2 linked regions of the Saccharomyces cerevisiae S288C genome follow. Changing the gene in region 1 together with any one later gene gives a genetic interaction. Each region holds a gene or a part of one and is shown on either strand. Other genes may lie near its edges.

Region 1 (7,067 bases):
ATCTGCCTTATTTCCCTTAAGTCTTGTATTTTACCACGTAATTCGTGAATGGGGTCATGAAAATCATCCTTAGCTTTATTGAAAAGTATACGTGCCAAGACAAGCCAGTTCCACGGCAACTCACTAAACCTATCCGGATGAGTTTTCTCATATTGTATTTTTCTATCAAGCTCTTTCGTCGTTAACCACTGTGGTGCTACAATACTGCACTTGGATTGTTGCTTCAGTAATAGAGCGATCCAAAGAACCACTTCTGTAGAACGCATGGCTACCATATTATTTAAAGCTTTGTCATCTGTAGTAATAAGTTGCCAGCGGGTGTGGTTTCCAGTTCCTCTATCATCGCCACGAATTTTTTGGCGTGTTGTTATTCTGGGAAAAATCTTTATTGGCTCGTTTTCCACAATGAACTGTATTTCTTCTGGTGAGAAAGTCTGCTGCAAATGTGCCGGTAGTGACATGCGTCTATGAAACTAGTCTTATTTCAGATCAGCCGTTGATCCTCTCTAAGTATAAAACTCTTTTTTGTTAACCATTTCATAGTTACACTTTAGGCGACTGATTTTTCATTAAATGGAAAATATCACAAGAAATTTCACGCTGGAGAAAAAAAAGGTTAGTCATCACTGATCTTCCCATGGAGTCATAAGCACGTTCGACATAAATTGTGAAAGTTAACACATTTGAAGCTAGGACCGTCAATCTAGGACACTAGTCGGTTACTTTTATCATGTGGAGGAGAATATTCGCGCATGAACTCAAGTATGATCAACCCAATGCATCTTCAAAAAACTTGATCCTTTCAGTTCTGAATACAACCGCTACAAAACGAGAGGCTAAGGATTATCTCTCAAAATATACAAATGATAGTGGGCAGCATAATCATTGTTTGTTTTTTATCAGGGACCTGCATAAAGTCGCACCAGCGATTTTGTCCCAGTTTTCAAGTGTCATAAAGAGACTAGGAATGCTAGGTTTGCGACCTATGTTTGTAATTCCGCCGTCGCCAACTCATGTAAATATACAGGCAGAGTTACTTGACAGTATCGTTACAGAAGCAGATTTAAAGCCACTTCACCTTAAGGAGGGTCTTACTAAATCCCGCACTGGGTTATATCATTCTGTTTTTTCGCAAGAGAGTCGTTTCTTTGATATTGGAAATTCCAATTTTATACCAATTGTGAAACCTTATGTGTATAATGAAGAGACTGCTTCAGAATTCATGACAAAGGATGTTGTAAAATTTATGGATTGCCTGTGCCAAGGGAATATTCCACACATTGACAAATTCTTCATTCTAAATAATGCCGGAGGTATACCTTCGGGAGAGAGAAATGATAACGCTCATGTATTCATCAATCTTTCTCAGGAACTCGAGCATTTGTCCTCGTCATTATCTCACAATATAAGCACTCTAACCAAACGAGAGCCACGCTCCCAAAACCTGTTACACAGAATGGAGGTGTACGTTAAAAAAGATGAGATATCTTCCTTAGAATGTGAATACCATGATCATTTAGAAAACCTGTTATTGATGGACAAAGTTTTATCAAATCTAGCGGCTACAGCAACGGGACTGATTACAACTGTCAAAGCTGCCGCACTATCATCAGATAGGAAAAATCCTTTAGTATATAATTTATTGACAGACCGATCGCTAATTTCTTCTTCTTTACCAAGGTTTAAAAAAAAGGACGGCGAGATAGACTCACCAGCCAACATGTTTGATGATCACGCATGGTATGAATTGCCTTCCCAACAGGTAAATGCAGCTCCTTCTAACTCAGATGCAGTTTTAGTGACAACTGTTCTCAAAAAGGGCGTCCATATCAAAACTTATGACTATAAGACGCTGACTCAATTCAACTCAATTGGGCTTCCAAAGAAGTTTCACGTACCTGAGAAAGGAGCAAAACCCTCGAGCAATAGTCCAAAACTAGATATCAACAAATTTAAATCCATCATCGATCAGAGCTTTAAAAGATCTTTGGATTTGCATGACTACATAAAAAGGATTAATGGAAAAATAGCTACAATTATTGTGATAGGTGATTATGAAGGCATTGCAATTCTTACCTATGAAGGCTCGGAGGAAAATTCCTTTGTTTATCTCGATAAGTTCGCCGTTCTACCACACTTGAAAGGCTCGCTGGGTATATCTGATATAATCTTCAATTTGATGTTCAAAAAATTTCCTAATGAGATACTTTGGAGAAGCAGAAAAGACAATGTGGTGAACAAGTGGTATTTTCAACGTAGCGTTGCTGTGCTAGATTTGTCGATTGACTTAGACCCCGAACACTGTGATGAAAAGCAAAGCCAATTTAAACTATTTTACTACGGTAACCCTCAATACGCTAAGAGGGCACTACGTGACAAGAAACGTTTAAGAGAATTCATGAGGTCTGTCAGGGACATCAAGCCAAGTTGGGAAAATGAAAAAAATATTTCATGAAACAAAGACGCATTCTCCTCCTCCTTAACTTTCAAGTTTTCATTTTCAGTTTTTAAGGTATCTATATAAATATATATATCTTACTATGCAAAGTTGTTGATATTTCACTTTACCCTACCAAATGGAGTTAATTACTCCAAAGTGATCCCGAACGAAGTTCCACTCTTGATCCAATGTCTCCTTTCTATATCTTCTTCTAATCATCGGAACGTTGTGCTTTATCGAGGTATCTTTCGCTGTATCGTACCAATTATCTATCCCACCCACGTTCTCCTCAAAGTAAGGCGCCTTTTTAACTCCAACGCCAATCCAATGAGCCTTGTACCAACCTTCATAGCCACTAGATAGCACACTTGTTCTCGACAACTCGCACAAATCTGTTGGGTTCAGCAAGTAAATACTTGCTGCTACACTGTATTCTTCAATGAGAGGTTCTAGCGTGTATGAACTATTGTAAAGAATCGATTTTGATGATAAAGAAATTTTTAGTCCCATCTTAAACATTTTCATGAAAGGATTTGTCTCATATGATCTTTGTTCGCCCACAGTGATATCTCTAGAAGGATTGATTTTGGCTGTTTCCTGGTCTTTCAAATAATCATGTTCTAGAAGCACGTTTTTATTCTTCAAAAAGGTCGATTTTTGCGAATTCAGTAATGAAACAGATGATAATGGCGCAGCTAAAATGGGTATTTGAAAGAGATAAAATAAATATTGAATCATTGTTGCAGTATCCCAAAGCGGTTCTACCTGTAGCAGACCACCATTACAAAGCAGTAAGTTGCACACTAACGATTCAACTTGATCTGTAAAATATAAATCCACTCCAAATTGGGAAGTTCTGCTGGATAGTGGAGAACAATAATTTCTTAGGGTGATTGTATTTTGAAGATTTTGTGACCGCAGAAAATTAACTTTCGCTAAACTTTTATAAATATAATACATGTAATGCGCAACAGTTGGATTGTCACCCTGTGCTGTCCAAAATTTTGGCTTACAATTCATATCAGTAAATTCTTTCCAGTAATATTCATCCGACTCTTTAATGACCAGATCCATAGAACACACATTTGATAAAAAAAACTGCAGACCAATGATATCAGTATTTACAGATGAATCTATTGGTAACTGCTCCTTTTCCAGAGTGAATAAAGGATTGAAGATAAGATCCAAAAACTCCTGGAAATTTGACACGACATTTTCCTTGAATAGTTTGGGAAAAATCCTGGCAATTTGTATATTCCAGCGGATATTATACGATACTAGCTTCCATCGTAGCAACCATTGAGAAAATTTCTTGTACCAGTCTTCACCACTGGAATAGAATTGAAAATTAACTGATACTTGGGCCAATTGGTACTTTGATTTTTCGAGGATATGAATAACGTATTTTATGAAAATTTCTGCTAGGTACTCACCTTCAATGAAATTATCAAACTCCAGAAACACTTTGGCTAATAGGTAAAACCTCATTTCTTTGCCGACCAACTTTGCTACTTTGTTAGGAGTTAGATGGTAATCTATTAGGTAAATATTTCTATACCAATCCAAGAATTCATCATCAATCAATTTCAACCCAATCGCAATGGGTTGGTCATTAGAAGAACAACCAAACTGAAAAATGTCTCTCAAACTGAGTTTCCTTGACGTTTCCGGGTCTTGATAAACTATCCTTTCAGGTTCTAAATTTATTTTCTCCCATATATATTCACTCAATTGACGTTGAGAAATACAACCACTTAAAGACAAGTCTCGATCTACCTTACGAGAATTATAAAAATCTCTGTAGGGAACATTTTTATTAGCTAAAATTTCTTTCTTAGAGTTTAGGTACTGAAACAATTCAAATTTATCTAATAAATAAGATAATCGCTTTCGTGAAACCTCGTTGAATTTATGAGATTGGATTAACTCTATTATGTATGCAAAATCATCCCTAAATTCTTGAAACGTAGGCACATCTGTTAAAAATTCTTCCTCTAGTGACTCCTCCTTACTAGAATAAGGTGAAAGTGGGTTTTGCGTATTTTCCTGATTACTTAAATGGTAAATGTATTGTTTTTTGTAATCCTCTAAATCGAAATATTCACCGGTGTATGGTACTTTTATATTTCCTTTTCCTTTCAAACCAGATTTTGTGTAGTAGTAGTAGTGATCGGTAAAGTAACTTGGGTAATAGTAGCCATGGCGGTGCGGTGTAGCGGCTCCGGTCCCAGTACTGTCTCCATCGTCATTTAAGTCAGAGTCAGAGGGATCTTGGAATCGTTTATCGTCTTCAAATCTCCAAAACTTTGGCAGTGGTTTTGGGTATAAAAACCACTTTTCAGTGTCATTTTTTATGTTTGAAATGCCATCTTGTTTGGAAGCAGCAATGTATCTTTTTCTCATTTGAGAAACCAATTCAAACGGATTAATGAAAAGATCTTTAGTTTCTTCACCCGTTTTCAGATTTGAGGGCGTGTACGATGAGACAAAGCTGTCACTTTCTCCATTTCCATAATGATGGGAAACTGAAGGAAGTGGATCAATTTTGTTTTCTTCGTCTTCAAGATCGAAAAACATAGGTGAACCTAAAACCATTTGCCTGTCAAATTCCGTGGGCAAAGAAATCATATCCATATCATCGACTGATATTTCCTTCTGTTTCAAAACAGATGGGGAGACATCACCGTCATTCTCTGACAAGACCCTGGCTTCTTTATTCTTCGTCTCATTAGGCTTAGTAACAGAATTTTGATATTCGTCAAAGAGTAACGAGGGCCTTCTCTCTACCGCCTGCATAATTCCCAGCGAGATGAATAAGTAAAGTGAGATTTAGATAACTCTTACAGAGGATATTGAGAGGACATTTTAATCAAATTCTTTAAACTCAATGTCCCCTTTTTTTCCATATATTATATTTAATTTCTCGGACAATTTTTCATTTCTGACTATAAATGACAGCAAGAAAAAAGTGGGCAGAATCATATTCAATTTCAAGTTTCTTCGCAATTTTTTTACAGTGATATTTTGTGTATGTATTTGTACATTGCTTTTAATATCTAAGTTTGTCTATAAATGGAAATTTAGTAGTGGTTTAATTTCCAGAGCCTCACTTTACCTTGTTCGTTACCCACGGCCAGTAGCCCACCAGATGGCGAAAATGCGACACTGGTAACTTTACCCAAAGGCGTCCCGCTGGTAGGCCAGTTGCTGAACACGCTACAAGAAGGCAGATGAACTAGTCTCAAAGCATCCTTGACTGCACGGGATGCCATGCACAGTATTTGACCATCAGGGGAAAATTGTAGATTAGAAATGGTAGTTGTTAGCTGGTCCAAGGCGGCGACAGGTGTAGGGGTCGACGAGGTCATAGCATTATTTCTATCGTAAAGATTAACAAATCCACTCTCACTACCTACCGCAAGCCACCTATTTTGCTTTATCTTACTTATTTGAAGAGCCGGACAAGTAGTTGTTGTCCCACCACCAACTTGGATTTTTGTTATACCCACGCCACCTTGGTCTTTCCATCTTCTTATAACATGGCCATTCTTATTCAAGTCAAATTCCCACACTTCACCATACGCGTTTACAGCAATTAAAATGGTCCTAAACTTACCACGTGAAATAGGTTGATAATCGATACAGAAATCCGTTATCACACCTTCTATCTTGCAGCCCATTAACCATAGTCCGGAAGTGGAATGTAAAATGTTAATCCAACCATTATTACCCTGTAAAAGGACAATTCCATGGACAGAATTTGTTTGTGAATTCTGCAAATGTGCAACTTTGAAATTCTCAAATGATCTTTGAGTGGACTCATGTCCATACAATCTGGAAAATTTTTCGATTTTGGCAGTCTGTGAATGAGTTAAATTTTCTAAGGATAAGTCCCAGGAATGCATATATCTTCTTCTACCGGCGGTGAATATATTTTGTTGATTTTGGTTTGATAGAGAAGTATAGAAAGTACATGTTTGTATTGGAGACCCAACCAGGTGCAAACTTGTCACTAGATGGTTCGTTTTCCCGTCAATATGATATATTCTTAAGGTCTTATCATACCCACCCGTTAACAGTAGAGGCTTAGAAGGATGGAATGAAAGAGATTGTATGGCGGAATGAGACGGGTGTGATGCATTTGCATCTTTAAGACGCACAATGTCAAGTTTCTTAGGGGGTAATAGTTTGGAATTCGATAAAGTGTCTTTATAATTGTAAGTAGTAGACAGGATCTTCGTTAGAGCATTAATATCTCCATTAATAACATTATTAGAGCCTTCTTCTTCATCGTCTTCTTCGTCATCTAATTCAGAATCAGATTCATCGTCCACCCATTTGGGCCTTGGATATATCTTTTCAAACTGAGATCTCAATCTGTTGATGTAATGAACACCGTTGATTTTGGACTCGTTATAGGAGGTTCTTAATTTCTTTGTCTTATTGGTAACAAGAATAGGCACTTTAATTTTTTCATCATCCGAATCTATCCAAGCAGCTTCTTCAGAGTCCTCAGAATAATCATCGCTTGAAGAGTCATCTTCGTCATCCACGTCCATGGTATCTTCATTCTTATCTTGACTATCTTCGTTACCACCATCGTCCACAAAAAATAACTGATCGTTGT
Region 2 (4,065 bases), on another chromosome or scaffold:
ATATCTCAGGAATGAAAAGTTCGTAGAGCAGAACAATATATTTCATTGGTGCAAGCATGTGGCTTTCAAAGTTCCAGTTCCCCTCGAGGTCCATCTTTAAGGGTGTTTTTTTGGGTCACAAGTTGCCGTTACTAGTGCGACTGACATCAACAACGACTAACTCTAAGAGCAACGGCAGCATCCCAACACAATACACAGAACTCTCTCCGTTACTTGTTAAGCAAGCGGAAAAGTATGAAGCTGAACTAAAAGATCTTGACAAAGACCTTTCTTGCGGCATTCATTTTGACGTGAATAAGCAGAAACATTATGCTAAATTATCAGCGCTCACTGATACATTTATTGAGTATAAGGAAAAACTAAATGAATTGAAAAGTTTACAAGAAATGATTGTATCTGATCCATCATTAAGGGCGGAGGCTGAACAAGAATATGCAGAACTGGTCCCCCAATATGAAACGACCTCCTCAAGATTGGTAAATAAACTTCTTCCACCGCATCCGTTCGCAGATAAACCTAGCTTACTAGAGCTTCGACCGGGTGTAGGTGGCATTGAAGCCATGATTTTTACCCAGAATCTATTGGATATGTATATTGGCTATGCCAACTATAGAAAATGGAAGTATCGAATTATATCGAAAAATGAAAACGAAAGTGGGTCAGGCATTATCGATGCCATTCTGAGCATTGAAGAAGCCGGATCTTACGATCGTTTGAGGTTTGAAGCAGGCGTTCACAGGGTGCAGAGAATTCCTAGTACGGAGACTAAAGGAAGGACGCACACATCCACTGCTGCCGTGGTTGTGTTACCTCAAATTGGTGACGAATCTGCTAAATCTATTGACGCTTATGAAAGAACATTTAAACCTGGTGAAATCAGAGTTGACATCATGCGTGCAAGCGGGAAAGGTGGTCAACATGTGAATACGACAGACTCTGCTGTCAGATTAACCCATATCCCCTCTGGAATTGTTGTTTCCATGCAAGATGAAAGATCTCAACACAAGAATAAGGCTAAAGCATTTACGATCTTAAGAGCGAGACTTGCAGAGAAGGAAAGGCTGGAAAAGGAGGAAAAAGAAAGAAAAGCAAGAAAGAGTCAGGTTTCTAGCACCAATAGGTCTGATAAAATTAGAACATACAATTTTCCACAGAACAGAATCACTGATCATAGGTGCGGGTTCACATTGTTGGACCTGCCAGGTGTGTTATCTGGAGAACGATTGGACGAAGTTATTGAGGCAATGTCTAAATATGATAGCACCGAACGGGCAAAAGAATTATTGGAGAGTAACTGACGAACGTAACTTTTCGTTTCTTGTAAATATCATATCGTATCTATCACTTCTGTAAATCTTCTTTTCTATTGTTCTGCGCCACGTAAGAACTGACGCACATAGTAGATGCCCGAAATATGCAAAACTCTGTGAAATAAATTGTACCGCCTCAACAGTTCAGTAAGAATAGTACACAAAGAGAGTGAAGTACGAACCGTGTTTTGCTCAAGATGTCTCTGACACCAACTAATGAAATATTGTTTCATTACAAGTCTTCAGTGAAGGTTGGTGAACTTGAGAGATATGTAATTACTTATCATCTTTATGACGGTGAGGAAATTCCACCAGATTTGAATTTAAATTCCTTGTGGTTAAAGGTGAGAAATATGAATCCGTTATCGTATAGAGCTGCGTACCTAATGGGTCCATTCATGCTTTATTGCGATGTAAAAACTGCCCAATATCATCATTCCCAAAAAATAGTTGCTTCAGTTGATTACCCCAAATTTGAACCGAATGTGCAAACTCAACAAGATTTCGTGGCTGAACTTTCAGTACATAACATACGACAGAAATACGTATGGATTGCTGATGTGATGAGTCAAATATTGTTCACTACAAATACGAACGTCACTTACGAAGTCACTATTGGAACTAGTAAAGAGTCAGTAGAAAATCCGCATGATCTGCCATCTCATCTAGGTTCTTATAGCCCTAAACTTACAGTGAACAGGTTAACTACCTTGGATTTGTGGAATCTTCCCGTTCAGATTACCACACCACAGAAAAAGAAACATCTTGTAGTTTTGACACATGGTTTACATTCTAATGTGTCGACCGATCTAGTGTATATTATGGAACAGATATACAAAGCACAAAAGAATTATCCCCACGAACAAATTGTTGTGAAAGGTTATAGGGGAAATGTCTGTCAAACTGAGAAGGGAGTTAAGTATTTAGGTACTCGTTTGGCCGAATATATTATCCAGGATTTGTACGATGAATCCATCCGCAAGATTTCTTTTGTAGGTCATTCATTGGGTGGCCTAATCCAGGCTTTCGCAATAGCGTACATTTATGAAGTCTACCCTTGGTTTTTTAAAAAGGTGAATCCAATAAATTTTATTACTTTAGCTTCACCGCTTTTAGGTATAGTCACAGATAATCCCGCCTATATTAAAGTACTACTTTCATTCGGGGTTATTGGAAAAACAGGTCAAGACTTGGGTTTGGAAAATGATGTTGAAGTAGGCAAACCGCTTCTCTACTTGCTATCTGGTCTGCCCTTGATAGAGATTTTGCGTAGGTTCAAAAGGAGGACAGTATATGCGAACGCTATTAATGACGGAATTGTCCCATTGTATACCGCATCGCTATTGTTCCTAGACTATAATGATATCTTGGAGCAATTACAGAAACTAAAGGAGAACAGCAAAAAATCACCGCTAATAAATGATGCTTCAACACCTGTGAATCAAGATTTCTTCAATAAAACTTTCATTTCGCCTCTGACTAAAATGTTGAGTATACTGGCGCCACAAAAGTTTCCTACGGAGAATGGTTCCGAAATTCCTAAAGTATCATTTTTCGAGTCAGCAAGCTCAATTCTCCTTCCTCCTTTACCTGAAAGAGCGTACATAATGGATCCAGATTCAAGAGATCCTGTAATTATTCATGATAAGATATACAATGAGGATGACATTCCACAATCCGAATTTGATATCGAAGACGGTTTTTTTGGTAAAAAGAATATACTCCTTCAGGCTTTTTTTGCAGGAAAGAAAGAACGTGCGAAGTATCGAAATTTGGAAGAAACGATTGCTCGAAGGTGGCATGAAGGAATGGCATGGAGAAAGGTTGTCGTTGCTTTAAAACCTGACGCTCACAACAACATTATAGTCCGAAGAAAGTTTGCCAACGCATACGGTTGGCCCGTTATCGATCATCTGATAGATGTCCACTTCAATGGTGATGACGATGACGATAACGATGAAAATGACGATATCAATTCCACACAAGTTGTTGAACCTATTCAGAGCGTAACCGAAGGAAAGAAAAAGTATAGGAAAGCTGAAAACATTCCTCAAGAATATGGATGGTTGAATAAGGTTGAAACAAACGGAGTCTTTGACGAAGGTCCTACGGGAATGATATCAACTGTTGGTGAAATAGTCGAGGCGTTAGCTAAAAGAGGATTTAGCGCCGTAATCGACAGGAGAAATGCCTCGGAAGATCCGAATGATGAGGTCCTTCGGTTTGAAGAAATGAATAGTGATTTGGTACAATGATAGAGCTTTATATATTTATTTACGGTTTATAGAATGGTCTGGAGTTACATTTGGAATAATACTCGTCTTGTTGATTTTTTTCCTTCTCTTTTTTTTACGAGCTATAATATGTTACCATATATAATCCTATAGAGTGCATCTTGAATCTTCGTGTCCTTCAAGTACTTAATGGAATAAGCTTCTTTCAATGATGTGAAATTACCTGTTTTAATGTATTCTGGGTTTAAAAACTGCTGATTGTTTGGATCATACTTTAGCTTTAATATTTTTACTAGTTCGTGTAAACTCATACATTTATAATTGGTAGCATGTGACGGTAAGCTCAAAATGCTGCTTAAAGATTTAAAATCATGTAAAAACTGATTTAAACCGTTTTGATTAAATTTGTTCAACTTTAGAATTGACTCCGTAAAATAGTTAACAATAACATTTAACAATTCGTTCTTAACCTTTAATGAAATAGCTAGTGGGATATCCATTGAATCCAATTTGTTGATCAA

Evidence for each region. Genes that interact genetically often act in the same process or in processes that back each other up.
Region 2: mutations in YJL070C (region 1) and ROG1 together harm fitness more than expected from each alone (negative genetic interaction), as found in Saccharomyces cerevisiae (2 studies listed by BioGRID).

The regions. Positions count from the first base shown.
Region 1 is NC_001142.9:305,402-312,468, forward strand, and holds YJL070C (metallo-dependent hydrolase superfamily protein), read right to left. Parts: upstream 5,237-7,067; coding exon 2,570-5,236; downstream 1-2,569. Other genes in the region: DNA replication protein PSF2, read right to left, coding at 1-461; ARG2 (acetyl-CoA:L-glutamate N-acetyltransferase), read left to right, coding at 731-2,455; UTP18 (Utp18p), read right to left, coding at 5,521-7,067.
Region 2 is NC_001139.9:231,950-236,014, reverse strand, and holds ROG1 (putative lipase ROG1), read left to right. Parts: upstream 1-1,507; coding exon 1,508-3,565; downstream 3,566-4,065. Other genes in the region: MRF1 (Mrf1p), read left to right, coding at 57-1,298; TIP20 (Tip20p), read right to left, coding at 3,667-4,065.